3 linked regions of the Oryzias latipes genome follow. The protein of the gene in region 2 interacts with the protein of the main gene of each other region in a pairwise test. Links are inferred from orthologs where the notes say so. Each region holds a gene or a part of one and is shown on either strand. Other genes may lie near its edges.

What was found.
Region 1: the proteins of fam114a1 (region 2) and rab2a interact in binary tests that used the Homo sapiens proteins (3 or more experiments, as listed by UniProt). The two-hybrid records come from large-scale screens. The link is inferred for Oryzias latipes from reciprocal best matches to the Homo sapiens genes FAM114A1 and RAB2A.
Region 3: the proteins of fam114a1 (region 2) and spg21 interact in binary tests that used the Homo sapiens proteins (3 or more experiments, as listed by UniProt). The two-hybrid records come from large-scale screens. The link is inferred for Oryzias latipes from reciprocal best matches to the Homo sapiens genes FAM114A1 and SPG21.

What each region holds. Positions count from the first base shown.
Region 1 is NC_019875.2:20,926,713-20,936,870, forward strand, and holds the start of rab2a (ras-related protein Rab-2A), read left to right. Parts: upstream 1-4,863; 5' UTR 4,864-5,036; coding exon 5,037-5,082; intron 5,083-10,158.
Region 2 is NC_019859.2:12,930,775-12,941,090, reverse strand, and holds the start of fam114a1 (protein NOXP20), read right to left. Parts: upstream 6,976-10,316; 5' UTR 6,868-6,975; intron 5,386-6,867; 5' UTR 5,380-5,385; coding exon 5,065-5,379; intron 4,879-5,064; coding exon 4,794-4,878; intron 4,667-4,793; coding exon 4,452-4,666; intron 3,200-4,451; coding exon 3,065-3,199; intron 2,927-3,064; coding exon 2,774-2,926; intron 1,769-2,773; coding exon 1,585-1,768; intron 650-1,584; coding exon 564-649; intron 80-563; coding exon 1-79. Other genes in the region: klf3 (Krueppel-like factor 3), read right to left, coding at 9,435-9,616, 9,708-9,880. UniProt on the Homo sapiens protein: May play a role in neuronal cell development.
Region 3 is NC_019861.2:37,278,225-37,288,605, forward strand, and holds the start of spg21 (maspardin), read right to left. Parts: upstream 5,104-10,381; 5' UTR 4,970-5,103; intron 4,804-4,969; coding exon 4,741-4,803; intron 1,876-4,740; coding exon 1,714-1,875; intron 1,526-1,713; coding exon 1,445-1,525; intron 1,354-1,444; coding exon 1,208-1,353; intron 1,139-1,207; coding exon 1,030-1,138; intron 902-1,029; coding exon 794-901; intron 711-793; coding exon 570-710; intron 490-569; coding exon 376-489; 3' UTR 1-375. Other genes in the region: AP-2 complex subunit alpha-2, read right to left, coding at 6,767-6,844, 6,915-7,049, 7,542-7,611, 7,956-8,072, 8,155-8,278, 8,356-8,445, 9,184-9,266, 9,336-9,466 and 1 more. UniProt on the Homo sapiens protein: May play a role as a negative regulatory factor in CD4-dependent T-cell activation.

The sequences.
Region 1 (10,158 bases), on a different chromosome or scaffold from region 2:
GGGAATTTAAAAAATGGGAAGCAGAGTCATTACAGTCCGAGTTGGTTCTGTGACACAAAAATACAGTGAAACTTGAACAGCCTTGAAAGGGAGACTTTTGCACAGCCAAACCTAAAAAATCTCAGAGGATTTCTCTGAGTCCTCCGGTCGAGCATGCACAAAAAAAGCACCATCCAAATGTCTGCTTGAAGTTTTCCTCAGAAAGTCCAACATTTTTCAACTACTCAAGGTTAAAAGTCACTGTTACATGTGAAAAACTGGGGTTCTGTTAGAATGCACATCTTCTTTTCACCCATTTGTACTGAACACCCCATGATGCCACGTCAGACAGGTAAAAGTTTAAAACTAACATGTTTCCTTCTTCCATGAGGGGACTGTCTGCTTACCTTCCTCATAGCCCCAGTCAAGCTCATCTTTCCCTGGGACATAATCGGACTCCTCGTTCACACTGTCAGCCATGGTGTTTGGCAGCCTGTCTCCCCCAGTACAGTCCCAGTCACGCTGGGTTGTCCACTCACAAACTGATGTGTGTGCAGTCTGCCCTGGAGGATCCCGGCAGGGAGATACCTTTTTGTCGTTTGTCTTTATTCCTTCAGTCTTGACTTCTTTCTTGACCTCCTTTCCTCATCTGTTCTGTTGTCTTTCTGAGAGAAGCAAGTGATGTGTGTGGGAACGCACAGCCGCCCGCTCTCCTTCTCTCTACCCTCTGATGCCCCTCCCCGTGCTCTATCTCTCTTTGGCTCTCTTTCTTCCTCTCTTTCTTGTCAGGCGTTGGTCATTCTGCCTTCGTTGCAAAAATGAAAGTGATTCTTCAACACCTCCTCCCATGCAAAGTTGCAAACTTTATTCATAAATAAAAACATACAGTTACATGTCAGAAATTTTCACATTTTGTGTTGTCGTGGGAGTTGTAATTCATTGTCGTTTGACCATTGTTGCCCTTTTTATGTGTTGGAATGCTGGCAGGAAGGTCATGTTGGTGTTTCTGTTGGAAGCTGTAGACCCACCTCTGGCTGAAGGAAATTGCATGGAAAAAGGGATGGAGGGATGATAGAGAGAGAAACCTGATTGTTTTCCCACTTTAAAGAACCACTCCAAGGTATATTCTTTTTTTTTAACATGTTCTTTTAACACATTTTTCATGATATAAAAAATTTAATTTAAGTAACATTTTCGTTTTTCTTTCTTTTTTTTAGAAAATGTTATACAAAGAAAATTAGGATCAAAGCTGCATTTCTGAGTATTTTTTTTATTCAAATTGTTGTGAATCCGGAGCAAACAAAAAATGCAGTTAGAAAAAGCTTGTAGACGTGATGTAGAAGCTACAATTGGCCGGCTCCAAGCTCCCTGCTCCGCTCCATTCTGATGCCTCCACTTGTAGACGATTAAATCCATTTACGTCTTCGTTCTCCTTGAGCATCTGGGTCAGAACTGGATAGCTCCGTACTTTTGTTGCACCACTAATGTTAGCTTGGGATTGTGAGGGGCTGTAAGCTTGTAAAGTCCCACGCCGATCATATTCTGACCTACTTTAAAAGCCTTCCCAGTGGTCTTTTAATTATTATTACGGTATGCTGTTTTGGCTAAAATAATTTTTTCAAACAGTGTCGTTTTCTAGAACATCATTTCTGCAGAGAGGCAGTACCTCAATAGAAATTCACCTCTGTGGCAGGACTGTTGGGGCAGAGCAAGCCCACCCCCACTCCCCATCATCAATTTGTTTACACGATCTCCTGCTAGCTTACAGCCCCTCACAACCCCAACTTGACATTACTAGTTCAACAATAATAGCAAGCAATATTGGAGCTATCCAGCCGTACAGTTTTGAGCCAGATGCCAGCCGGACGAGGAAAACAAAGACATGCATCTGCATATGTCTACAAGCTGATGCATCAGAATGGAGCAGAGCGGAGAGCTTGTGGCCTGCTGGTTGTAGCTTCTGCGTCACACTTACAAGCTTTTTCAAATTGCTTTTTTTCTGTCTGTTCCTGATTCAAAATGGTTCATATAAAAAAAATACTGAATTTTGTGTTCAACTTTCCTAATATATATCATCAATTGTCAGAAAAATGTCCCAATAGCTTATTAACAACACAAATAACACGATTTTCATCTGAGTGAGTCTTTAATAACCTTATATTGAAAAAATGAACCCCAGACTTCTCCTTTCTTGAACTTCCATAAGATTCTATCTTATCCACCATGATTTGAGATCACCATGAAGTCAAAGCAACATTATCATTTGATAATGGTGGTAAAATCAGATTTTATTTTAAAGCAAAAAAAGTCAAAAATCAGACATCACTACTTACCTCATTTAGTCATGGCTCTTTTTTTGTCAATCTTACATCCTCCAGGCTGCTGATGTTAATTGCCCTACATTCTTTATCTGGAAATGGTCCTTGGAGTCATCTAAATGAAGACATGCACCCTTTTTTTTAACCTCCCAAAACAAAATGTGTGATTTCTTCACATGTTTGAACCAAATCTGAACCACAGTAACTTTTTAAAAGAAGAGCAGGCACCTTTATGTCTGGTTTCTTCAAGTATTTCACACGGATCGTACATTGCTTTGGACAAAACATCTTGTTTAGTTGACCATTCTCTTGAGGTCTCAAGTTGTTTTTTTTTTACTCTCTGCTGTATTGTTCTTGCTAAACGAGGCCACAATTTGCAACTTGAAACCTTCAGTTCACTGAGGAAATAAACCAGGTCAACTTCAGACTCAATACACCTCCAGATGGTCTTTAGATAAAATAGACCTTAAGGGCATATTATATTGGCTTTACTAAGACTTTTATGTTAAGCGTTTTAAATTGTAACTACTAATCGAGTAAATTAACAATAACTCTGACAATAGATTGATTAAGAGGCTTCAAAATCCCTCAATTTTTTGGAGGGGATATTTAGCATAAAGTTGCAGACAAGACTTAAGATGAGATTAAAAATGATCCATTTATAGTTCATAAACATGTAAATATGCATTAATTAGTATGGTGTGTAATACTCAAAACATGTTTTCAGGAAAGAAAAGAAAAACCTTACTGAAGTTTTCAGTTTTCTTGTAAAATGTGCATCAATTCAAAGGAAAGACAGAAGTGAAACTGTTGGTTTTTTTTTATCAATGTTCACATCAGAATTTACAGTCAGCAGACAACTTATTTTATCAATCTTTTGTTAAAACATATTTTTCGTGTAAAGATTTAATCAACAAAATGTTGTTTTTCTTAAAAATTTTGAAAAACTAAGTTGTTACTGCAGCTTCACATCAAAGTTAGGCACTTTTAAATACTCATTTTTATACTTGGATTTAATTTTAGTTTTCCATCAGATAAACACAAACAGCTCGATAAAGTGAGGTGCAAACCTGGTTGCTACAGTCCCAACTTGTGAAAGTGACTCTAGCCCTGAGAGAGATCTGTTTCTTCATGCTTGCTGCCATCAAGTGGTGTGAGTGTAACCACAGCTGCAGTTTCAGTGCCAAAGACATCCCTCTGGTTCCCTGCAAGTTAAAAAAACAACAACACCAACGTTCAGTTCAGGTTCCTACAGAGTTTTGTGCTCCTTGTTCTGTTAATTTTTTTTTCTTGAATCATACAATTCTCATTAGTTCGCATGATATTACAATGTATTTTTGTTATCAGGAAGACTATGTCGGGATGACATCACATAATTAATAAATAAATTAAATGATAAAAGGTTATTTATATAATATTAATCATTTTTAATCTAACTTTTTATTCTGAAGCATGGGGGTGTAAACATCATGATTTGCAGCTGCTTTTCTTCAAAGCAGGACGACTGATCCGTATTAAGGAAGTGATAAATGGGGCAATGTATGGTGAGATTTTGGGCAAAAGCCTCCTTTGAGGCCCTCTGTGAGAGGATTTCGCATGAAGCATGTCTGGATCTTCCAGTATGACAGTGATCCCGAACACATCGTCCAAGCAATGAAGGAGTGGCAACAAAAAAAAAGCATATCAAGGTTCTGGAGTAGTCTATCCAGCCTCTGGATCTCAATCCAAAATAGAGAATCTGTGGAGGGAATTTAAACAGCAACAGCCCCAAAACATCACAGCTCTTGAGAAGATCTGTAAGGAAGAACGGACCAAAATAGCCGCTACAGTGCAAGCCTGTTGAATATTTCCAGGAAATACTTTGTCATTGAGGGTTTACAAATACTGAGGGGACATTTCTTTTCGACCAAATACTTGTTTTATAGATTTTATCTTCACCCTGTATAGACCCAAGCACGTTTTTTTTCTCCTTATAATTGCGTGGAGTCATGTTTTTTTCCTTTTTTTTTTTACATAGATGTTTTAGTCTGTTATTTGTAAGTATCTTTTTCTTCTTTTTATTGTATTTTTTTCTTTTTTAGTTTTTCTGAGCCACACAGGCACTACGTTTTCTGTTTGGTCCTTGTTTTCCCTTTTCTCTAAATACACAGCCTACAATTGTGGATTAAACTAACTGACCAAAGCTGGGTGTTGCTCATTCTTTTGTGCTTTCAGGACTTTCACATTACTAAAGTAAATACTATTATGAGTAGTCATTGTTATACCCTAAATTGATAATATAAGTTAATTGCAGTTTGTTGTACATTGTTCATTTTACATCATGTTTTACCTCTGCAGGTTTTAATGAAAGTATTAATGCTATTCAGGACTCGTGTACAAATCTGTTGTAAAATTACTTATGAAGAACAGTAGCATTAATCTTTAATGTGAAAAAAAGGTTGAAGGAAACTTTCACAAAACTTATCACGGGCATTTTAATAATATATTAACAAAACGAGATATAAAAAAATCACAAACACGAACACACACGACAAAACTCCTGAGCATGCCTTGAACGCATCATTGTGTAGCGTGGCGAGGGCGGAGCGTATGACGTCGAGCTGAAGCTCGAGCTGTTTATTGTTCCTTCCTGAGCACCGACAGAGAAAAACAAGCTGTCAGCTACTCATTTGATACGGTTCACGGCCCGTTTTACTAAGGTGTAACGGTTAAGAAAGCTGACTGTACAAAGCAGGTGCTATGGCGTACGCGTACCTCTTCAAATACATCATCATCGGAGACACAGGTAAGTAGCATCAAGTGCCAGCTAGACTCAGCGGTAGGCTATCTTTCAGTTAGCGGCTATTTCCGCAGTGTTGGATAGTCCAATGACGTGGTAAAAGCAGAGACGCAAGGGGTGGGATGACAGCTCCGATTTTCTCCCCCGTTTAATACATCCGAACCAAAACCAAAAAGAGAAATAAGAAAAATAAAAACGGTCGTTCCGTAACTAGCTCCCCCCCTCACCCCGGTGCCGTAGTAGCTGTTGACACCGGCAGACGTTGGGCCTTTTGTCTGCTTGCGTCGAGGGTGGGGGTGTTAGCCGCTAACTAGCATGCTAACTGGCTACACCTCTAGAAAAGATTACAAACAGCTGTCACGACAGCAAGTTAGCCTGTTTTTTCGTGTCAGTATACATAAAAATAAGTCGTAGCATTCAATTATTTTTGTTTCTGAAACATTATCTTTACTAGTTTTGGAATAATTTAAACTTAATATTAGACAGGGCCATGATAGCGTGAAGCTAAAGCTCGTAATAATTTTTCAAATGGCGTAGACAGAGCTTGTTGACTCTTAGTTTGACCACATCTATTTTCGCGGTTCACATGTCCCCACTATACTCGATTTCTGCTTTCTATTGGTAAACGTATTTATGGTTTGGTTACACAAATGTCTTCGAGTGTTATCCGCTTATTTTTTTGACAGATTGTATTGATGATGATGGGCCTGTTCAAATACACGAGCAGCAGGTGCATATGAAGAAGAACTGCTGTGACAAGAAAATCTAGAATCTTTAGTTTGACATAAGCAGATTCTCAGGAATGTGATGGGGACGTCTGATCTTTAATGGCTCAATCGGATAGAAATACCACGTTGGCTGAATGAAAATTAGACAGCAATTGAAGGTAAACACACCGAAAAATAAAACTTTAAAATCATAAACTAGCTCCAAACATTGTAGAAAAGATCCTTTCTTCTCTCTTCTGGACTACATGGTTCTTGCAGAAGAGGTTCATGTTTTTATTTGTTAATTTAAGAGGTTCATGTTTAGCTCGTTATCATTTATTCCTAGTTATCAAAGCTGTTTACAGCTCTGGCTAATATACCAGCTCAATTCGGAGGGTATTTTCAGAAAAACAGACCACACAGCTCACATCAGCGGGGCTAAGAGTCATCAAAATCTTGAAATGATAACCACAATATGTGAGTGTAAATTCTCCAGAACTCTCAGTTCTAGATTTCATAATGAAGATCCAGCGTAGAAAACTTGAACTGCAACTTTGTATATCCATTTTGGTTTAAACAGGTAATTTAAGGTTAATGGTTACCTTCTGGTGAAGGATTTTTACTTTACTGGGTCTTTAAAATTGTATAATTATTGCTTGGAGGAACATAAAACTGCAGTTCCAACTGCAGATTGTAATAATGAATCAAATCATGTGGTTTTAATAAAAATAACAGTAATTGCGTCATCAACAAAGGGGTTACTAGCTTGAAAAAAATTCCTTTTGCTCAGGTCATCAGCAGTAATTGGGTAAAACATTCTCTGTCTGAATTCACTCACTTCTCCCTCTTAAAAGACTATCCAGTGTCATTGATTTCACTTTTCACTTCAGTTTGGACCCATGATCACTACTTTTTGTAGTTTTTTTGTTGTTTTTTTAACTTAAAATATGATCTCACCCGTTTGTCAAAGTAAAAACCTTAAAAAATGTACATTCTACAAAGACTATTTATGAATCTATTGTGTTCTGATCATAAAAACTTAATGATTTATTTAAAAACAATGCATTCATTCAAATGACAAATTGTTCAAATGCAATGTATTGTTACCTGTTTTCGCCTATCCAGTGACCATCATGCACACTAGTTTTTTTGCAGAGGTTTCTTGGAAATTTCCAAGCCACTGGATTTTGGAATCATAGATTCATAGTGAGTAGTGTGTGAATTCTGACACTTTTTACTTTATTATAGATGGTAAAGTGACGAAAATATTGACGTTAATATACAGTGAAAAAAAATCATCACAATTGAAAATTTGAAATGTATCAGCATTGACAGAAGGAACATCGTCTTGGTAGTTTGGGGTAAAGTATTTTGATTTTACACATTCCTTTTTTAATGATAATTATAAATTGTTATTGGTATCACTTCTTTCTGTGCTGACAGGTAAAGAGACTATTTTTGACATAAATATTAAAGCCATGCTTTTCACTGGGCCACTTGTAATCACCTTTAATGTATCTTGTAAATCACAAACTAATTTCTCTGTGCGGATGCTAATTTGGTTATATGTAATGTGCTGTCCTGCATGCAGACATCCTGAGAAAGAAATCGTTTTCTTTGTACTCCTCGGCTGTATAAACTACACACTGAAGCATATCTTATGGAAATTTATCTGTTTTATGTTCATTTTTGACATCATAAATGAACTTTAAATCATTGGTGTTACAGGTAAATATCAAGGGATAGTGTTTAGGCTCTTGTTAATTTTTCATATCAGAAGTTTGATAAAAATTGTATTTCATTTTTATCCCCACTGAGTCCGTTTTCATTTAATTCCTTAAGAACAGAATTAACCTCATCTTTCATAAGAAAACTATAATTCTGGATAGATATGTTTATGAAATGGGTGTATATTTTAGCTTATATCATAGCTATAGTCCGGATATAAACAGGACTGCTTTGCTTTTTTCCCTTTTTCATTTTGATATCATTTTTATTTTTAAATGTATGTATATTATATAATTACAATTTTGTTTAGTCAACCATTCAGAATAGTTTAATTTAAATTTGTTCATATTGGAAACTACATTATTAAATCACTTGATCTAGATTTGATTCATTTATTATTTCAAAACCATTTTTAGATTGCAAAATGTTTTCTTTTTTCAAAGATGCAAAGGTGGCATTTTAGGAAATTGATGAGTGGATTCTAATTATTCATAGCAAATTTCTTAAAGAAATATCAAAATGAATACGTTTTACAAGTTGTCTTTTTCTTTTTTACCCAACCCTTATTAATAACATGATTCATTCATGTCAAAGAAAAATAAATAAATGACTAAAGGTTCATGAGTCGGTTGTGGTTTTCTTCAATAATGTCTGTTAGTTTATATTCAATACTTGCTCAAAGCTCAACCCTGGCCTTAACCTGTTACTCAGTTTAGAGAAATAGCTGTTGGCATGCAGCTGGCTTTAGTGAAATGAGCTTTTAAAGGATGACTAACAGTTTCTAAGATCACACCCTCTTTTTTTACTATTTTTTTCCCTCGCTCTCCAGATTCAAATGAATGATGCCTGAAAGAGAATAGATAAAAGCAGCCTCCATCCAACATGGAGGGGAGACATTGCCCCCTTATATAAGACAGCAGCTGGACATGGAAAAGCATAATATTACATGGAGCTATTGATTAAGTTCTGTTGGCTTTTTGGCCTGAGGTTTAGCCTACAGACTGATTTGATTGACAAAACTGAATATGAGTTGAAATGGAAAGTTTCTGCTCTTCTTCAAAGCCCTAAACAATAAAGTAGGCTTTGTTCTATTGAACACTGCCTGCAGAACTCTAAACCTCCAAGTTTTGACCCCACTTTTTAATGGGCACTGAGAAATGGAGGCATTTGTTCTAATGCTCAGCTGGAGTTCACTTGGAGCGTCGTGTTTAAAGCAACCCATTTATTTAACAAGTTACAATATTCAGAGTTTGGATTAGGTTTGAGGGGGAAAAAGCTTCACGTTTTCTGTGTGGTTCCATAGTTGTCTTTGACAATGTTTATTTTAAAAGAAATGTTCTCCAGCTAATGAAGGAAAGAATGGCCCTGATGATGGTTTTTAGGAATGTTAACCAACAACCGTGTGTCTCCCACATTCCTGTGATTTACTTTGATTTCTGGAAAAGATTCTCAACATTTCTTCTGAAAGAATCTGAACGTGTTTTCTTCTTTAGCTTGGCTGCTCTCCTCAGGGCTCGCCACAGCAACTATGGCTTCACTTTTGTTCTTCCTGGCAAAAACCTTCTGCATTTGCTCAGAGCTCTGACCAGCGCCTGTAAATCCACTTGATCTTGTCCCTTTTTTGGTTGCATTAATGACCTTTTAAGGCTTTGAGGGCAGTTTTAAACAGACTTACAGTGATGTGTTTGTGCTTTGTCAGGTTTCACAGCTCTTTGGTGTGATGGGATGTGCGAGGACACCCGTGCAGCCTGCTTTCATGTTCAATCCTCTGCAAAGAACGTGGTGCAATCATTTGACCTTGCAAAATTTCTGCAAACCAGTCATGAGCAGTGCAACATCAGGTTTAGGCTGTAGTACGACACATGTGGGAAACCTCACCTGCTATTGATAAATATGTATGATTTAACTTTAAAGTCAATTATTCCTTAGTCCCAAAGATGGATTTTGAGAATATATTAACCTTGCTCACTTTTCAAATCCACTTTGTTTTGAGTTAATTTAAAGACCCACCCCGATTAAATATGTCTTGTTGTGTAGAAAATACGCCGGGCGTATAAGATCCCTGATCCGCTCCATTCGTATACATCCGACGACTACATCCATGTACGCTGCCATGAGCTGGCATTCGGCTCAAAACCGGACGGCTGGATAGCTCCAAAATCACTCCCCATATTTTCTTGCACTGTTAATATTAGTTTGGGGTTGTGAGGGGATGTAAGCTAGCGGTAGAGAGTGTAAACAGATGGGGGATGCGGTGTTGAGGGTGTTTTTAATTACTGCCGCGCTGCAGAAACTTTGTCCTAGAAAACAATCGTTTTTTTTTTTATTTGGGTGAAAAATAGCATCATCATATTAAAAAAGACCACTGGGAATGTTGTCAAAATAGATCAAGAGATTTATCTGAGTAGGGGCTACTTTATGAAAATATAAAATGTTAACATTTCTTTGTTTTACTACACAACTAGTTTTATGACAAAATATCTTTATCTCTCCTTAAATGATGGCATTTTTTTCTCTATGCAGATTTTGTCTTTACAAGAAATTGTTGTTTTGTTTCTTAAACTACTGCTAAAGCCCAAAAACCACATGGGTAAGAGGGCTGTCCTTCCCTTCATTATCTTAATCAAGTTCTTGTTTACATGTCAAC
Region 2 (10,316 bases):
CCGGAGTTTCCTTGCCGACTGTCTCTGTGGTGACAGGCTGTTCCACCTCCATCACCCAACCGTGGGCTCTCATACGAGCCTGCAGATGCATAATCACCTCCCATCAGCTCAACACGGTGAGAGGTCGACGTCCTGATGTATGCTAATCACATGCACAAACATGACTATGCTAATGTGAGATCGGGAAAAAGTGGATGCAATCGTGCAGAGGATCTTCAAAGACGCTAGCTGCAGCATAATGCATACAAAGATATAGGTATGACCATGTTCACTTGAGTCATTTTAGACAATGTTCTTCACAGTGCATCGAGTAGATTGCATGTTGTTCAGGATAATATTTGTATTCATTAAGTTACTTTTCAAATATTCATCATTCAGCTGCAAAAAGGACATATTTTAATAGTTAGAAATGCAATTTTGAGCTTCATTTTCTGAATATATATCCTCCATCATGAGAAAAATGCCACAAGAACATGTTGAAAGCACCATTCTCTTCAGAGTGTGGCTTTAAAGTCTACAAAATAAAACTGAAATCAGTGCGACGTTGTGTGCGTGTGTGTCACCTTGTTGAGTTTGTCTGGTGTCGCAGCAACATGAAGTTCAAACAGCAGCTCAGTGAGAACACTGACAAACTCCTCGCCGTCCGCAGCTGACAAAAACACACAGGTTAAACTTACTCATGTTATGGCATGCACGTGTGATGATGGTTCGATTCCCCCATGCTGGAATCAGAATGGAATAATTTCCCTCTCCTCTTGATTTTCAATTGATTCTTGTTTCAAATCCAAATGAATGAACTAATCGGTCACAATTCCATTTACAGCTGAGTAATTATTCTGACACACATGCACATTTACTATTTGGGTGTGATTGTCCTTGAGGTGAAAACATGGCAGCTGCCTCTGAACACTGACACTGGATGAGGTTGGGATCTGCCACCACGTGCAGGGCTTTGACATTGCCACAGTGTCACATGTTTAAAGGCTCCAGAGATGTGATAACACTTACCATAACCTTCAGTTTCACTGCACACTCCAGCCCAATTGAGACAATGAGAGACAAAGTAAGGCTCCAACTTTGCTTCATAGTTGATCATTTGTCCTAAATTTTTGTACAACTTTAAGAAAATAAAATTGCAATTATTTTTTGATCAGGTGTTTGGTAAAGCTTTTGTGTTAAATTTAGAATACAAAAAATAAACTAAAATATACCAGAATTCTGCAAAAACGGTGAACTAAAAAAAAAAAAGACAAAACTAGATTTTTGACAATTTTCCTGATTTTTGCTAGTTTTCTGAAAATCTTTGGTAAAAATTTTGTTAGAGTGCAGATGCAACCAGAGACTCTAGATGTAAACCCATAAATATGATGGGATGTGGTGCTTTGCAGTACATCACAGCAGCAATACAGGACCAATGCAAGGCTGCAATGAAAATGTATTAGTCCAGGGTTTGGAGAAAAGAAAAAAAAAAGAATCAACAGTGAAAAGTAAAACTAAATCAACAGCCAGAGTTGACTAAAGTCAGCCTAATCCTGGGTCAGTGTTCAGAGACATCATCTACCTCCAGCTGGTCTGCTCACTCACATAAGGGGGTAGAACAGTGTATTTGGGAATTTAGATCACCATTATCCTTCGTCTGTCCTCCATCTTCTTCTTCCTCTACTTCTCCTTCTTCCTGTTGTCTGGTGAAAATTTCTTTGATGAAAATCAGCTCCTTTTTCTCCTTCTCCTGATCTTCTTCCTCAAGGGAGGAGAGGAATGCTTGGACCTAGCAGATATAAGGAAAGAGTGCACTGTGAACGTGAGGCAACTAGGCACGCGTTTACTACAGAGCTATGGACATGACATTCCAAAATAAAGTTCCTTCAAATTAATAATTTGTGGTCACAAATTAGTTTTTGTGGCAACAAATGACCATTTTGGTCACAAAAAAGTACTAGGAACTGATAATACTAAAATACTAATTATTATTTAAAAATAAAAGCTTATGTGTGCACACAAAATGCTAGTTAGTGTCTTCACATTGTTAATCTGTGCTCACAAAACTCTAATTTGTGACTGCAAATTGCAAATTGATGCACACAAAATGCTAACGTGACCACAAATTCAAATTTATGCTCACAAAATGCTAACTTGTGACCACAAAATGCTAACTTGTGACCACAAAATGCTAACTTGTGACCACAAAATGCTAACTTGTGACCACAAAATGCTAATTTATGCACACAAAATGCTAACTTGTGACCACAAAATGCTACTTTGTGACAACAAAATGCTAATTTATGCACACAAAATGCTAAGTTGTGACCACAAAATGCTTACTTGTGACCACAAAATGCTTACTTGTGACCACAAAATGCTTACTTGTGACCACAAAATGCTTACTTGTGACCACAAATTGCTCATTTGTGACCACAAAATGCTAATTTGTGACCACAAAATGCAAAATTATGGACACAAAATGCAAAATTATGGTCACAAAATACTAATTCATGGCCACAAATTGTATTTATCTGAGGAATGGGTTTATAATGTTTATGTCATGCTTAGGGCTCCACAGTTTGAACATAAAGTAACAAAAATATTGTTAACAGTGCACCGACAAAAAAAACTAAATTTTTCTTGCGAGAACATTTTTAGAGCTGTTCCGTTGAGAATGTGAGAAAATATTTCAATATTTGAGCCAACAAGAAACACTGTGTTGTTTTGAGCTGAACCAACACAAAAATGAATGTGTTGCATATTTTGAAGTAATATCTAATTCACACTGTACCTTTGCTTCACTATCGTTGGAGAGGATCTCCAGAGCTTCGAGATGTGACAAGCCCTGGTATTCATCAAAGAGAATGCTGTAGTGAGCGGTGGGCGTACTCGTCGGCTGGTTACTCAGCCGTTCCTGGTCTTTCTCCTTGGCTTCCTTCAATATCTATAAGATAAAAAGCTACAAATAAACAAATCACTAACTGCAGATTGTTCTGTCCGTGTAAACACACACCTTCCTCATTCGTTTTTTAACCAGCTTTTTGTTTCTGTGAATGAGTGGTATGACTAAGCGTCTGCATACCTGACTCAGCGAGGCGGTTTTCTGCATTAGAGTCTTGGTCTTTTTAAATCCTGGATCACTTTCTGCAAGAACGTTCATGGTCTTCTTTCCAATGAACTCTAAGGCATCCAGACCTCCACTGATCACCGACTTACCCTAAGAACAGAGTTCAGGAGAAAAAGGAACAAAAAAGATTGTTTAAAAAAAAAGGTTATGATTAAATATGTATTTAAAAAAAAACAACAACCTCAAATAAATTATAAATTGTGTTGACTTTCTTTTCTTTTATACAATATTAAAACAACAACAGATCACAAATGACCCGTCTTTTTTCTACATTAAAAAGTATTCTAGAACAGTGTTTTTCAACCTTTTCTGAGCCACGGCACACTTTAACCTTAAAAAAAATCCCGCGGCACACCAGCATCCAAAAATTAAAAAAAAAGGAGAAACTCAGTCTGTATTGATCTACAGCCCCTCCCTCCACAGTCTCACATGCATTTTTGAGATAATTGTTACAGAAAAAGCTGGAAACTGCAGCTGTTTTTTTCTAAAAGATGCAATAAAAGTTAAGTTAGAAGATTTAAAAACAGTTTGTGTGTTCGTTAGTTTCAAGACGTTTAACAACAGATCTCCTTTTGCGCTGTCACTCTCACAACCCAATGCATCATGGGAAATATAGTGCATAAAACGGCCGAAGATCGGTTTTCGGAGCTTCATTGTTTTGTTCACTTGTTCCACGGTCTGATACCGGATTCTGTGGAAAGCTACACCGCTAAAGACGAGCTTTAGCTGGTATTTCTGTCGGAACTGAGCGACTTTACGAGCTAAATCGGGACAAGGAAGTGAAGACTTTAAGCAATTCTGATTGGTCAGACCGATGACATGTGATTAACCCCCCCAACACGGGACTTTTCCAAATTACAGCCGAAGGTGCAGCTGAATCGCGGTACGTCATTCTTATCAAAATGTCTTTAATAAAATAAAATAAATGCAAAGAAAAGGTATTTTACGATCTTTTATATTCCTAACTCCTCAGTGTTTTATCAGGGCCTGTTTGGATGAACAAAGAGCTAAAATCCTGGAGATGGAAAATGTTTTTAGATCAGTTAATGAGGGCAATTTCCCACGGCACACTTGGCCATCTCCCACGGCACACTAGTGTGCCGCGGCACACTGGTTGAAAAACACTGTTCTAGAATATAAAACACAGTATGGGTTTTTAGCTCTTACAATAGTTTTCATGTTCTCATTTTGACATTTTTTTATGTACTTATTAATTTTAGCCTGAAAGTTCACAGGCTAAAGGCTAAAGATCACAGGAGCAAGAATATTTTAGCAGCTTGTATTGTAAAATTTGTAAACCCTGGTTTTGTGTGATCTTGCTTCAACGTTTGCGTTTCTTCACCGTGTTCTGCACCGCATGTGAGATGGTCGAGAAAACGCCCCTGCTCGGGACATCAGCAGACGTCGACTCCTCTGCGCCGGATGGCTCAACCTCCCCGGCTCCATCCGTCTTCCCCTCTGCTCCTTCCTCCTCTTCTCGCGCCTCCTCTCCTACCGAGGTTCTGTGGAGGCGAAGAGCTTCTCCTGCCTTCACTTTCACTGAGGTCAAGCTCTGGCCTGCAAATAAACGACGTGGAGATAAGATGGAGGAGGGCTGGATTTGAAATACTTCATGAAAGAAAAGATCTGACCAAATGATGTCCAAACTTGAGCCGTTTTAAAAGGAGGAGCACAGAAAACATACCAACACTGGAGGTGGCAGTGCTTAGGAGAGATTTTCCCCAGGAACTCCAGCCTCCCCAACTTTTCTCCTTCTGTTGAAGAGAATTCTGCACACACAGTCACACACATGTACATAACAAAGCATGACTCAGCAATTGTTTCTATTCGATTGGTTAAAAACTAGATTACATGTGTAAAATTGAACACATATTTTGACGTTTGTCTGCAAGACGACAGGCAGGTGTTTGTGTGTGGAGGACATCAATTGGAATGGAGGAGATCCAGCCACAAACCTGTTCATCCTCCTCTGCAGCCTCAGCATCTGGCTCCAGGCTCACTGACTGGTTACATTCGGTCACTTGACCCTCTGCCGCTGGCTCGGATGTGTCCGTCTTGGTAGTTGTGTCCTGTCTTACTGTGTCCTCAACAGGATGCGGCATGCTCAAAGTCTCAGGGTGGAGAGGTGGCTCCAGCCCCAGCGAAGGCACGGGACCTGCAGGGCCTGATGGGACATCCTGACAGGGGTCAGGATTTGCAGAGAGAGGTTGGACAAGTGGAGGACTGGAATCTTTGTGGAGTTCTGCCTCAGAGGGGCTGTCCTGAGACATTTTGATCTGGAAAAAAATGATTTAGTTTTTGTATTAGTCTTGTAAGCAGTGATCTGTACTTATCTAAAATAATTTCTCTACAAAAGTCTGCTTTTTACATACGATTTAAGACTGGTTTCTAAATAATAATTCTAAAAAGAGACAGAATTGAATACAACAATTGATTATGATGATTTAGACACAAACTTCTAAGCAAAATTCAAAGAAAAGGGAGCTCTGCATTGGATTTAAAAAATGCCCAACAAACCATGAAGGAATTAAAAAAGCAGATGTTTCATCTGACTCATCTAACAGATGACACAGAAATATCAAAATCCTCTGGGAAAAACAAAATCAGTCTGAAAATAAGTAAAAACTGTTTTAAAAAAGTGAAAGAAGAATTTAAAGATTTATAATTTGCAAAAATTTAAACAAATCAAAAGAAAAGAGGCTTGTTTACAGAATTTGGGCCTCTGGCACAAAGTTCAAACTAAACAGACATGTCACTAAATCAATGAAAATAAACATTTTAACCATTTTCTTTATGTCAGTGTCTTTAGCACTATCACTTGACCTATCAGCATTGTCATATTAAAAAAAACAGCAATATTAAGAACTTTTTCAACACATAAAAAGCCTTTAAGGCTTTATTTTTTAAACTGAAAATAAATAAATAAAAATCACAAATTATATTCTGGTGTGTTTTCTATACAGTATATGTAAAACGCTCCAATCAATTTGAAAAGATGAATAATTTTATAATAGATGACGTGAATTTGCAATGAAAGTCGCATGAAACCAAATGAAAATAAATGTAATGGCCAATAGCGCCATTTGCTGACCACATACTGTAAATGCAGGACTCACACAATGTTTTTAACCACGTGCACGTTTAGTCGTTACAGGCTTTAAATAAATAAAAATTAATAGCCAGGTTTGCTTCTCTGATAAACTGTACATGTGACTTAGTTTAAAAGCAGCAACGTTAATGTGTATTATTTATATTTTTGTTCAACTTTGTAAAAACTTGTAGACAGCAAAAACAAAATAAACCTACGCAGATAAGAATAATACTCATAATCCTGTGCCAAGACAGGAAGTTTACTGACCAAATGAAAAGGTACCTATTACATTTATTTTGAAATGTATTTAAATCGTTTTTATAACTATAAACAATTTCATACATTTGACATCATTGTAAGCCATTTTGCAGGTACCGTAGCAACCTTGAATAATGATAATAAAAAAACATTTACAGCACGAAAACGCATTAAAAAAATACGAAGAAAAAGTATAACACAGAAAAGCCTCGTTTTTCATGAATGTGTTATGAAATATGACTTTTGTTTTGAAATCTAGTGAGTTTAACAAAAGTGGTGTGCACTGAACTAACTGGTAAACATAGTTAGGTTAAGAAAAAGTTTGCGTTCTGCAGTTAAAACAGACAAACGAGCGTTGTAGAGCAGAAAAATCGGGTGTTATTAGGGAGAAAGTAACAGAGCGGCTCACCGTGCGGTGCCAGACAGCGGCTCCTCTTCCGCCCCGCCACGTCGGCAGGCTGCTCACAGTGACGGCACCGAAGAGCAACAAACCAAGAGAGTTCCCTGCATCAAATATAAACTTTGCTCAAAGTCCAAAGTGAAATAGACAGTTAACGCAATTCAAAGTATTATTTAGCTCTTTTGTAATGTTATACCCTTAATTAAAAAAAAAAAAACATAACCACGTAAACTGTTGTGCATTATTCAGCTTTGGAGGTTGTTTTTTTAACTTCCGGAAGATGAACATCTTTACTAAAGAGTTTCTGTCATTCCGTTCACAGAATGCTAATGTTTAGAGATACTGGACTTTATCAAAAATACAATATTAACAATACAGGTAACATAATGAGACACAATATCTCCGTATTTAACTTGCATTGAAATTAAATTTAGGTCAGTATTTTGATAAAGTTTACTGTGAACATCTACCGACCTAATAGATATTTACAGTACTTGAAAAAATTCTAATAAAGGCACTGCACACGCACTCATCACAGTTGATCATAGATAGACTAGTTGTATCCTGATCTTTCTGATGCAAAGCACGACGGCTCGTTGGTCTAGGGGTATGATTCTCGCTTAGGGTGCGAGAGGTCCCGGGTTCAAATCCCGGACGAGCCCAATTTTCTGACTTTTAACGAATCAAGAAAATCTATTTCAAGTCTGGGAAAAATGAATACTAACGCTCTAAGATTGAAGACAACGCTCTAAACTCAATGACATGTGTAAAATTTATGGTGGGAATTAAAAAATAATGTAACAAGATCTGCCCCCCCCCCAATAAAAAATCAAATAAAATGGCAATAACAGATAACAAAAATAGACAGTCTTGAAAATGTTACCAATAGGTTTATTGAGTAATAAGAATATTCAATTTAAAAACATAAAATGGCATACAGACCTTTACAGTTATATGTTCACAGTTTAATAAAGTTCCCTTTGAACAAAGTTCAGAGTAGAAAGAGAAATAGTTTATTAAAGACATCTTATAAATTTCTGAATATAAAATCATGCTTAATAAAAACCTTTAATTGCCCTTTCTGTTTAATAATCAATCATAACATATCACAACTTACATGTGCAGAATGAAAAAAGCAAAAAACTGCAATTAAAAACTGTATTAAGGAGCAAATGCAGAACACTTGAGCTGCTACATTCTGTATGTAAATTTGTATACATATGAATAAATGACAGACAGGCATTATATTATTAGAACTTGACAAATTTGATGAACATTTCTGATCAATTTGATCATCAAATTAAGGGTAAAAAAGGGAACCCAAACAGAGGAATTAAAATGTTTGGCCTTGGGAATGACAATATTCTTGATTTATATACCTCTATGCTATTTTATACATATAAAATTACTTAAAGTGCACGTTGGAGATGTACAAATACGCTCTTTTATTCTCCAGGTGTGTAAAAAAATGAACAGATTTTTTCAAATCAGAACATTTCCTATTGTGACATTTGGTAGTAAAAACTTTAGACTCTTGATTTCAACACATAATTTTCTCTATAGTGGGATCAAAGAAGAAGAAAAAACACTACTTTTCCTGAAAAACTAAATTTTTTTGAGAAATTTTCCCTGCTTAGATCATTTTTCTTTAGCATAAAAAAGTGTCATTCAATACAAACAGATACCACGGTCAAAATTCATAGATACATCAATCTGTAATTGGTAAAAAATAACATTTCTTCTACCCTCATCAAACTGAGTGATGCTTTTTTGTCCCACACTCACAAAATAATGCCCCAATGCAACAACTTTCACATTTCTGAAAGAAAAGCATTCATAAACACTTCACTCTGACAATGAATGAGACCCACTTTTTTCTTTTCACCCGAAGCATGAAGAAATTACGGCAAAGCTACTTTGAATAAGTGCAAGTGTTTTTGATGTGTTTTACGCAATATATACCGAAGAGAAAGCAAGTGCGAAACTACTGATCATCACTTCATTTAGCAAAATGTTATGCTTTCGGAGGCAGATGAGGTGTGTGGTGTTTCAACGTGGCAGTCCGTGGAGGAAGTGGAAACGAGGGTCACCGGGTAGATCCACTGGTGACAGCAAAAAAGACTGAAGTATGACACAATGCATAGACGGTGTGATATGATACATTCTGGAAAAGTTTCACATTTTATTGGCCTGTGTGGAAAAATCACATGAACTTTATAGAGAATGATAGCTGATGGTGCACAGAGGCTTGACGGAATGTTGATGGGATTTGGTTTGTAGCCACAAGAGGGCGCTGCTCTCAGGCCAGCTAAGAAGCAGCAGCACCTCTTAAAAAAGAACAAAAAAAAGAAAAACAGTTCTTGGACCTTCCACAGCTGATCACAGGGCTGACAGCTTTCAAAAGCTCTCGCTCAGTCTGAGTTAAAAAGAAAAAAGGTCGAAACAGGCACCCGAGGAACATTTTCCCACCTTCTGTCAGAGTCCATTGTGTAAGGCCAGCTGTTTTAACCCTTTCAGGTCAAAGTAGCACTGTCCAACCTGGCCCAGAATTTCTTTCAGGTTACTTAATCGAGGTGTTACACGAGGAGGTGGCGTTTCTTGTGCAAAGCCAGGTGGTCGGAGCGGGAGAAGCTGCGCTCGCAGTCCGGACACTGGAACGGTTTGACCCCCGTGTGCTTGCGGTAGTGTCTCGTCAGCTCATCCGAGCGGGCGAACTTCCATGTGCAGCCTTCCCACGTGCACTTGTAGGGCTTCTCACCTGCACGGAACGGGAAAAAAGACACCGCTTGTTGAAGACGAGACAAACAGGAGCCGTCCTTATGCCACAAATGGCTGAGAACCCGCCTCACCTGTGTGCGTCCTACGATGGGCTTTGAGATGGGAGCTTTTGGTGTACACTTTGTTGCAGCCTGAGAAGTCGCAGCGGTGAATGCGCCGCTTCTTCAAAGAGTCAGGAGAGTCAGGCGGGAGAGGATGCTGTGGATTTGAGCTGATAATAGTTATCACTGACTGGCCGTTGCACCTGAAAGACAGAGAAGTGGGAAAAACCTTTAGTTGCTGCTGCCTCACATCTTTATTAATTAATGGACATTATAAAAACCCTATAGCTTGAATTCGTCTTGTACTGACAAACAGGCTGTGTGTTTGTGTGTGGGAGAAGCAGATGAGAGGTGTTGAAATAGGATTTAATTCTTCTGTAAGGCATGTGGCAACAAAACACCAGCAAACCACTGATTATTGCTGAAGCTCCCTTCACCTATTCATCCATCCAGTTACAGTAAATGATAAACAGCACATGTCCCTTTTTATAAAGAAAAACTGTTGACAGATTAAGTCACGCCCACTTTTTTTTCTTTTTTCCCAAGGCTTACATTATTTCATAGTTGGAAGTGTGACAAAACAGCATGAGAAGGCAGTCCTCCTGTCAACGGCATAAAAGAAAGGGCGTCTTTCACACC
Region 3 (10,381 bases), on a different chromosome or scaffold from region 2:
TGATTTATTCCAACAACAATCATAAATAAAACCTCTGAAATGACGGCGGCGGGATTTGCTTTTTCCCAAACGGCTCCAGGAAGCAGCTGAGAGGTTCTTGTCCAGCATTTGGACCCGAGACGTAAAAGAAAACATGAAGATCAAACAAAGGTTCTTTTCCAAAAGAGAGAAGAAGAATCTGCTGCTCGTCCCGACGCCTCCTGTTCAGCATCAGGTCAGTGCAGCGACAGACCGCCGCGGTTCGCCGCCGCCGCGGTTGAGTTCTCTTAAGGCAAAGTGTTGAGAGTTTGTAAAGCAAAAATATGAAAATATCTTCTGTCCAGTAAAAATATCATCTGTCAGGAAGCTCCTGCTGCAAGGAGGCGGCGCCTCGGCTCATTGGTCGTCGTCAGAGTCCTGGCGGCTGGCGTGGACTTCCAGCTCTTCGGCGTTGATCATGTCAGGACTGATGGCGGCGAATCTCGTCCCGTGGAACTGCCGCAGGTGAATCTGAGGAAGAAAGGGATCAAACTCGCTGAACTGCAGTAGAAACATCTGGAGGCGTTTCCCGCTCCGGCGTGCGGCGTCACCTGGATATAGAGGTTGACCTCGGCGCTCCGGCACAGGTACGGGAAGTTCCCCCCGGTCTTCAGGTGAGCTCTCCTGGCGTTGGGATACAGTTTGTACATCTCCTCTTTGGCCTCCAGCGACAGAGCGCTTTGGTCAAACACCTCAACAGGAACAGGAAGTGACAGTCAGGCGGCGGCGGCACTGATGGTGAGCGCGGAGCGGTGGGGAGGGCGGGAACACTTACATCTATGATGGTCACAGCCACGTCTTTTATTTTGTGCGGCTCCACGTAGGAGTTCTGACAGTTGAGCGTTAGCCGTGAAGCTAACTCGCTTTGGTTGAGACTCTCCAGCTGCAGACGCACAAGAGGAGAAGCTCAACAACCGGAACACAACCGCACAACAAGGACGCCGGCTTGGTTAGAAAATCCCCACAGAGCTCAGAGACGGTCCGCAGCAGACCGCCACGGCGTCCACGTACCCGGTCCACCATGAAGTCGATGCCGTCGGCCATCTTGGGGTCCATGGGTCCTCGGGCAAAGTTCCCCAGAACGATCTTCTTCAGCAGGAAGGCCGGCATGAGCCAGAAGCTGAAACAGAGACAGACGTGAACGCCAGAAGACGGCAAGCTCCCCCTGCCGACGAGCGGAGAGCGCCACCTGTTGGCCGTCCACGTCTGGTTGAAGATGGAGGTGTCGCTGAAGGAGTTGCACAGGACCAGCGAGTGCACTCTGGGAGACTTGTGGGTGTACTCCGCAAACTTCTGGGCCAGGAACCCGCCCAGTGAGGCGCCGAACAGGTGGACCTGTGAGGGGGAGGGGGCACAGGAATCTCATCAGTCCACGCCCCCACGGGTTTGGACCCAACACAGTTTCACCTCAGAACCACACAGGTACCTTGTCCAGCTGCAGGTGATCCAGGAGCTTCCTGAAGCCGTCGCAGAACTCCAGCAGGTCCCAGTAGACCGGGTACTGCAGCTGAAACCAGAACAGAGGAACCGTCAAGTCCAGACGCTCAGGGAAACGCTGCACCATCCGTTCAGGCCGGACTCTTCATCAGAACCTTCATCAGCGACCGGAATCAACCGATGCGGATAAATGACATGTAAACATAAAGGATTGAGTTAACGTGAAGATGTGCAGGAGAACAGGATGAACCTGCTTACCGAGATGACCCGGTACCCCCAGCCCGTCAGGGCCAGAACCTGCTGGAAGAAGACCTCGGCCGTCCCGCTGACCGGCGGGAGGAAGATGATGGGACAGCGCACGCTCTTCGGGCCGGCGTCGTACAGAGACCACACCTTACTGTCGTCGTCATCCACGATGATCTGGAGGAAACAGGAAACCAGAGAACTCGCCTCAGAGAGGGCGGGGAACCAACGGAACCAACGGAACCAGAAGAGAACGCTCCAAAGAAAGAAATGCTAAAATCTAAAATCACAAAAGTTTAACAAAAGAGGAAAAATGTGAAAAGTGCAGCGAGAAGCAGAAACATGCCAAACAAGGCCAAAAAAAAGCAAATACAAATGAATCTCTAAATACTACGAAAATACAACAGCGTCATGACGGTCCATAAAGGGTTCGGTTGTTTGTTCATCACACGGGTTCTGTTGTAAAAAATAACCTGCGATGGATGAAAATGGCGGCGTTAGAGTCTAGATGTTTGAAGGCAGAAAACTCCTGACTGAAGACTTTCTAGACGTTTCACTCTGACAGGTCAGACCTTTGGAGAAACATGAGACGATAGCAGGAGAACAACCATCTGATGGGTTCTGTTCAGGAGACGGACTGACGACAGCCAATCAGGAAGCAGAACACTAAACGATCAGCAGCACAAACGTCAGAAGTGAACCGCGACCACAAGAAGAACTCAAAAGGCCGAGTTCAACCAAAATGATCAACCGGAGCCAAAGGCTGAAAAACACCAACTAAAAAAAGAAAAAGAAAATTCTGCATCTTAAAAAGCAAAACCAGAACAAATAGCATCCAGTTGAAGAATTCATGTGCTAACAGCTAAAATGTTAGCATTGACGCTTTGTTCTATGGCAGCCCCTCCCACCAATCAGGAGTGAGCTTGTTGGAAGGCCACGCCCCTACCACTGGAAAGCTGTAAACGTTTTGAACACTGGACAAGGGGGTCAACAGGCTCCGCCTACTTTTATTGAGGCGTCTGATTGGCCAGTTAATGACTTGACTAACTTGAGATACAGGAAAAAAAAAGAGTTTTATCAAGTAGATGTTTAAAAACAAAAAGGTATCCGATCCAGAACGGTTCTTCTGACCAACAGAATGACAGCTGTTGATTTGCAGATACTTCCTGTTTGTAGCAAAGGGGAGGGGCCCCTCCGTCCAGTTCCGGTATACAGTCAGTGGTAACAAAAGAATCTGCAGAGAGGTTTTTCTGAAAATCTTAAATCCTTCAGATCAAACTTGTCTGGGGGGTTTTAAGCCGTGCTGCCAGAAGCTGACCTGCATCAGTCACTCAACCTCTCTGTCCCAGAATGCATCTCTCCTGAAGTGCATGAGTGAGCAGAGGGAAAACGAGTGGATTCGTGCCAGTAAAAGCAGCACATGTGATGCCCGTGTGAAGCTGAGGGAAGCATGTGACGGCTGGGTGATGAACGCCGTCACATGACTCTCCACCTCTCAGAGCCTCAGCAGCAGCGGCTCAACCTCCAGCTGCGGGAACCAGCCGGGTGTCGGCTCCAACGCCAAACAAATCCCCATTTTTAAGAGATCTGTGAGCTAAAAACCCGACGGGAATAATCGTCTTATTCCAAAAGACAACGCGAGCCGTTGTTCCACCAAACAGCAGATCCGAGGACCAAACCCGTTTTCTGAAAGCTAATCTCATCTTAATCCAAGAGGGCGATCCGTGCCGCTGAAATCCAGCCTCAGATTTCTCATTTTCACGCAGAACTCAACACAAAAGTCATGAACTAAAGCAATCAGAACGATTGTTTAAGCAATAATTGACCACAAATCTTGAAAAAAACCTAACAAACTAAATGCAGAGACGCCTGACACTCATGAGGGGATTTGTGAGGTTTAAATTAAACATCTTTAGCAGAAAACGTTGTGATATTTTCTTAGACTAAAATAGAAACACAGCTGTCAGGCTCCAAGCTTCCTTTTTCCAAGGTAAAACCTTTTTTTTCTGCTGTGGAATGAGATGCAGAGTCTTCCTACTATATTCACTAACCACAAAAACAATGTTTACAACAATCTGAATGTAAATAAAATTTGAAAAAAGACAACATTTGAGCAAAATCATAAAAACTTTATGATTTTATCAAACATCTGTTTGAGCGGAGCTTCATTTTTCCAAACTGTGGTTCTCCAGAAAAACCATAAACCAGTTTAAAAAGTGAATACAGGAAACAGGTGAGACAGAAGGGACAAAATGAAAACACGTAATGGCGAAGGGGCGTGGTCTAAGCAGTGCGTTCTTGGTCTTATTTTGTTGTTTGTCAACTGTTTTCATGGTGATTTTATTGAACAGAAGGGAAGCAGGTCACAAGATCAAGTATTAGTGCATAACATTTGTAAAACGTTTCTTAGACAGCGTGACAAGCTAACGTGTGCTTTAGAGACCATGATACTACCACCACCTGTCAGCTTAAAGACCACGCCCTCATTTCCATATAAAGTAATCCTCAACCTTTGAATAGGAGGGCTTTAAAACCAGGTACGGTAAAGAACACGGGCGCTAAAGCCACGGCGATTAAAGGGTTCATTTACAGAACCAACCGAATTCTACGACAGAGTCAGTCACAAAAGTCTGGAGGACATTTCACAGCAAGCCTCCTCCGACTGTAGGTTGAGGCTAGTAAACAGAAGAAGAAGAAGAAGAAGCCCCTCCCTGCAGGCGCAGTGTGAACACCTGGTCTGAACGGTGTGCATGTAGTTTCAGAAAAATAACCTCTCTGGGTTTAAGGAGTTCAGCTGTGTTTGTCCTGAAGCTCGGTTCTGAACAGGTTCGGCTCATCAGAACCTGAAGGTTGATCCAGCAGGACAGAATCCCGATGACCCGTCACGGAATGGACCCCTTCACACCTGGGGTGCTTTTGTATCACGTGACCACGAGAGCAGGTGTTTCATAAGAATTTCAACGCGCGCGAGCGTTAGCCCTCATCGCATCGGCGACGGTCCAGCTGCTCCGGAGTGAGGCGCGTGACGAGGCGGGAACTTACCCTCTTAAGTGGCACGGTGCTTCGGAACCAGTTGTAGTCTGGAGACACCTTGATCTCCTCCATCTGCGGACACAGAGACGGTGACTCAAGTGTGTGTGCGGGGGTGTCCGGGCTCAGCTGCTTCCGCGCGGGGGCAGCTGTTAGCCATAATAGCGGCTAGCTGCTAAACGAACCCCGCGGTAACCCCGTTAACGGCGTAGAAACCGACCGCCCCGCCAGCCCCACTCACCGTGGACGTCACCGTGTCAGAGCCCACGCCGCTGCTCGGTGAAGGGTCACCGTGTCCGGAGACGTTTGTCCATGTCGGGTAGCGCTTGGAGCGGCTGCAGCTCGGTCATGTGATTTTCCTTTCACACACTTCCGCAAGTAGCCTCTCCGGTGCTGCGTTCGCGGTCGCTCTGAAAATCCTGTTCTCCGGCAGTAAGAAAGCCGCTTTGGTTTCTTAAGTCTTGCTTAATTTCTGTTGTCGTTACAGTTTTCATCCTATACAATGTAGCACTCAAATGTATTCAATGTTTGTCTGAATATGGAATCAATAGAAATGTAAGAAGACATTACAGACTCGAGATTCTTTCCACACAAAACCCAACGAATCTCCGAATCCCCGTTTTTCTCAAACGCATCGGTCAAACCTCAAGGTAATTCTTCTCATAATTTTAACTTCAGTCATCAAAATATTTGGATGAAAAACTTTCTAAAACAAACTTAATTCTTGAATGAAATGCGTTTTTGTTCGTAAATTGTTCTGAAATTACAATTCATACAAGTAAAATGGAATAATTTACATCTTCAGTGTGGATCAGTCTTTCATTGAAATCCTGTCTGTTCTCATTTTTTTGTGGTTTAACCTGGACAGGAAACTGAAATGACAAGATGTGTAGATTGGTTCCGTTTCCCAGAGCGGTGTTGGTGTGTCGTTCAGACTTTGGCCCCCATCGGTTCTCCAGCTGTTTCTTTAAAAGCTTCATCTGAAATCGTTTAACCACCTCCAAGTGTGTCTGACGTGACGCAGAGAAGATCAGTTATGGAAGGTTTAAACTGCTTCCTCAGGTCGTCCCCACTGTGAAGGTCAGTTTATTGGAAATGTTTTCTTCCCATTTGGAACTTAAAGGCAGCTTTAAAGCTTGTGAAACATGAGCGTAACCCCAAAGTGAATTTATTTACCCTAAACTGTTTAGCTGTTTAACAAACGTTTGATAATGAAGATAAAAAGGAGGAAAACCACAAAAAGACAACAGTAGAAATGATTTTTTTACCAAACTTTATAAAGTTGAGGGAAGTCCTGGAGCCCCAAACAGACTTAAGGACACATTAAGGGAAGAAGCTGCATCAGATTCTCTTCCAGGCACATCAGCGTCTCAATGACAAACGTTTTGGCAGTGAAAGCTCCAGAAGACAGAAGAAGTGCTTTAAGACGTTGGAATCTCCCATCCGACACATGCAGAACGGTCCTGTGCAGCAGCGTTCTGCACTGCTGAAGGTCTGAAGGATGGACGCATTTGAACTCATTCACCAATGTCCAAAGGTCAAAACCTTAGTGAGGGGGCGGGGCCAGAGCCCAGACCCACTGTGGTTAGTCTAGAACACGTTTGAGTCTCCTGGAAAGTATCAAACGTACAGAATCACAGAGAGCAGAAAATCCCACTAACCAATCCCTGCTCAGAATATGAAAAGCCCCGCCCACATCACACAATTTAAAGTAAAAAAAAAAAGTACCAACAGATGTAGAAATACACAAGTCGTGTATTTCTACTTTTCCCTAAAGGTATAAATGCACATTTGGATGAACGTTTCCGTCCGTTAGTCCTTCAGCTGCTAAGCCGATGTGGAAGTTTGAAAAAGCTGGAAGTTTTCTAAGGTGCTCAGTGTGAAAACACACACAAACACACACATTTAACGCTGTGACACATCAGTGCAGAAACACCTTTGCTTCCATGTCAAGCAGGTAAAAACGGCGACTCCACGGCGGAGCAAATCTTCTCCAGACTGGAACACGGCGAGCAGAGCGGCGACAGCGGCACGGAGCCTAGAACTGTTCTGACAGCAGCTGGCAGAGCCTCTGGGAGACGGAGTCCCTGCTGGTCCGGAGGGTGAGGCGGTACATCTGGGGACACAGTCACGCATAAGCATGGCCACCCCGGGGAGGTCAAAGGTCAGAGTGGAGGCCGTCTTACCTGCGCGTGCGTGTTGGGCTCCAGCCGGAGCAGGCAGCCCACCTGAGCGCTCTTGCTGTGAATGATCCCGGCTCCCACGAAGTTGGCGGGGTTTGGATCCACGCCCTCCAGCAGCGCCACGCCGAACCCCAGGAGCTGCAGGATTCGCACAGGAAGCGGGTCAGACGTTTGTGCAGCGCTACTGACTGTCCCACAGACCCACAGACCTCTGCAGGGCCACACAGACTGGTTTCCATGACGGTGATGGCGTGGCATGATGGCGGTTAACCAGTCAAAAATAGACCTAAAGTCTAAGGTTCGTGGTTGAAAGCCAACCAAGACGGTAAACGGCGAACAGTCACACACTGATGGCGGCTCCACTGCCAAACGCCAACCCATAACCACCAGGAGCTATGTGGGGTTCAGTGTCTTGCCCAAGGACACTTCAACACATGGGTTGGCAAGGCGGAAATCGAACCCGCAGCATTCCAACCAGAGGTCGCCCGCCGTACCTCTGGACCATGGCTGCCACAAGTGACAGGACCACGCTGACGGTATGGGCGTGGCCACTTTCAAGGTCCTGTGCTTGCTACGGCGCTGACCATGAGCTGACAGCGGTCCTGCAGGTGAGGGGCAGGTCCTCCTCACCTTGGCTTTGGCGGCGTCCGTTTCCATTGGATGTTGAGCCTTGAAGATCTTCTGGACTTCCTGCTGGGGTCTGAGGACACAGTGAAGGTGGAAAATGATGGACAGAAGGTGCAGGTGAAACGCTGTGACGTTTCAAACCAACATGGAGAAAGCTTCAGCACCAGAACCTCTGGCCAGGAAGGCGGGGCCCGTCGTTAGCATTAGCATGTGAGGTTAGCATCAGCTGAACTAATCGGGTTGTGATTGACATGGGGAGATGGGGGCGTTCCCACAAAAACGTCTCCAGATCTCAAACATCTGAATAAACTAAAGTTTCAATTCTCCTCTCAGGCCCCAAAAGCAGAATCTGATGGTCTGGAACCAGTGAAAACGTTTTAAGGCGTGCTGATGGAGGTCAGAGGTGAGGACGCTTACGCTCCAAGCTGCTTCCAGCGCTGGAAGAAGTCCTGGGATGTCATCTCTGTGGGCTGAAAAAACTTGTTCAGCATCACAGGAAGTTTGACTTCAATGTTCTGCAAAGTCCCAGCGTATCTGCTCTGGCATACAGAGTCAGAGGTTAGCACGTCTGTCCGGGGCCGGGCCTTTCACAATAAGAGCGCGGCTAAACACCCACCTGAACTGGACGTTGAGCACGGGGACGTCAGAGAAATCTGTCACGCACTCGATGTTCAGGACCTGCTGGACCTGGGCTCCGCCCTCGATGACGGGCTCCACGGCTTTGGCGTGGACGTTCAGCTGTGGAGGCGGCGGTCAAGGTTCCATCTGCTCGGGGCTGGAGGGCGGCGCCGGCGTCCTCGGGGATCGTAAAGGATATGAGTCTTCAGGACGTCGCTGCTGCTCACCCACGAGCTGAAGCTGAGGAACGAAGACGACGTCTTGTTGCCGTAGAAGACGTAGATGCGACCTGGGAGGAAGAGAGAAGGACGTTCTGCTGGGTGGAAGGTCAGAGGTCATGAATTCCTTGCCTACCCACTCTATAGTGCGTTCTCCATTTCTAGTGCCGTCCGAATCTTCAAATTCCCAAATCCAAAGCCCTGGAAATTTCCCACAAGTCTCTGCGATAAACCAGTGTGCATCGATGCTCACTAGGGTCGTGTCTGATTTCCCGCCCTAACTACTAAAAATCTACAAAGTGCGGCTCTATGTAGAGCCCTGGACGCTCACTACTATTTTCTTTAAACAGCAGATATGACATCATTGATTTCAGGAAGTTACAATCTAATTAATATGAGCGTTTTATTTATGATCCACTGTCTTCTGAAGATAAAAACGTTGATGGTTTATTAAAAATTACATTCAAATACATTTTTTTGGTAAAAATTGTTCCGACGCAATGCATTGTGGTCTATATTCGCCGATCTAGTGACCATCGATGCACACTGGTTTTTCAGAGACTTCGGGGAAATTTCTAAGGCTCTGGATTTTGGAATTGTAGATTCAGACAAACTAGAACCTGGAGAAAGCGCTATATAAGGGTTAGAGTGGGAATTCAGACACAGCCTAGATCTGCAAATATAGACCACAATGCATTGCGTCGGAACAATTTTAACAAAAAAATGTATTTGAATGTAATTTTTAATAAACTACCAAGGTTTTTCTCTTCAGAAGACAGTGGATCATAAACACTCAGTCCGACACTCACCCAGGTTCTGACGGTACTCGGACTTCAGTCCCACCTGCAGGAGCTGGCTCTCGTACAGAACGCCGTTGTTCTTGCAGACGAACCTGAGGAGACGCGGCAGAACGTCAGGCCGAGTCTGATGAGGGGGCGGGCGGGGGAGGGGGACCACTCACCTGGACAGGTGGTCCTCCGCCACAGCGGTGGGGGCCGACAGGTCTGAAAAGACGTCCACCAGCAGGCTATGTGCTGCTGCCGGGGGGGTCGGGTTCAGGGCCAGCACTTCTGTGGGGGGAGGGGGGGACGCCTGGGGGGGCATCAGCAATTTTACAATCAACACTTTTATCCTGCTGGTTTTTCTTCACTTATGATTGTCTGGCTGAATCCTCAACTCTGATTGGCTGCTAAGTGATAAAACGCGCATAAAAAGTAGTTCCGGTCACACTGCCTGAACGTTCTGTATCACTGCGCCGGCTTCTTTCAGACAAACTTTAGCTTCTTCATTTGGACAAAAGAAAGGTAGCAACAAGACATAAGCGGGTTAACAGCCTTTAAGTCTGCATCATCAGAAATTAACGCACGCCGCCAACAGACTTAAAGACGATTCTTCTCTTCCGGCTTCACCGTTAAGACGACACTTGAACTTATCAAGTTCTTCGCTTCTCGCCGTTTTAGAGGGAAATTCTGCAGAGATACCAAACCCAAAAACAATTCACTTTCTTTCAGAACTAAAATCCTTCTGGGCCTGAAAACCGGAGCCGGTCCAGTTCTCAGATCTGCTACACGTTAATGGAGACCCGAGCATCGGGACTCTGAAGGTCTGTGGGTGGAGAGAAGGTCTGATGGACAAACAGAGGAGCTCCGAGGCGGCGAGCGCGCCCTGCAGGTGGCCCTGTGGCTGCACCGGACCTTGTTGGCGGCAGCAGGCTCCTCGGCGTGCAGCTCGGCGTTGCCGTTCACGTTCTCGGGCAGCTTGCCCGATCCCTTCTTCTTCTTCAGCTTGGCCAGGATGGAGGACTCCCTCTCTGGGAACGGAGGCATTTCTTCTAAGACGGTCGCCTGCAGACACGGAGAGGCGGGTCAGAGCTCCACGCCTTTCTGGCAATCTCTGACCAAAGGGGGGCGCTCTTCACAAACACCTCAGATCAAAAACCTATTTTTTTTTTATTCCTGCCTCAATGGGAAGACCATTGAAGTCCTGCCTGCACCGTTGCCATGACGA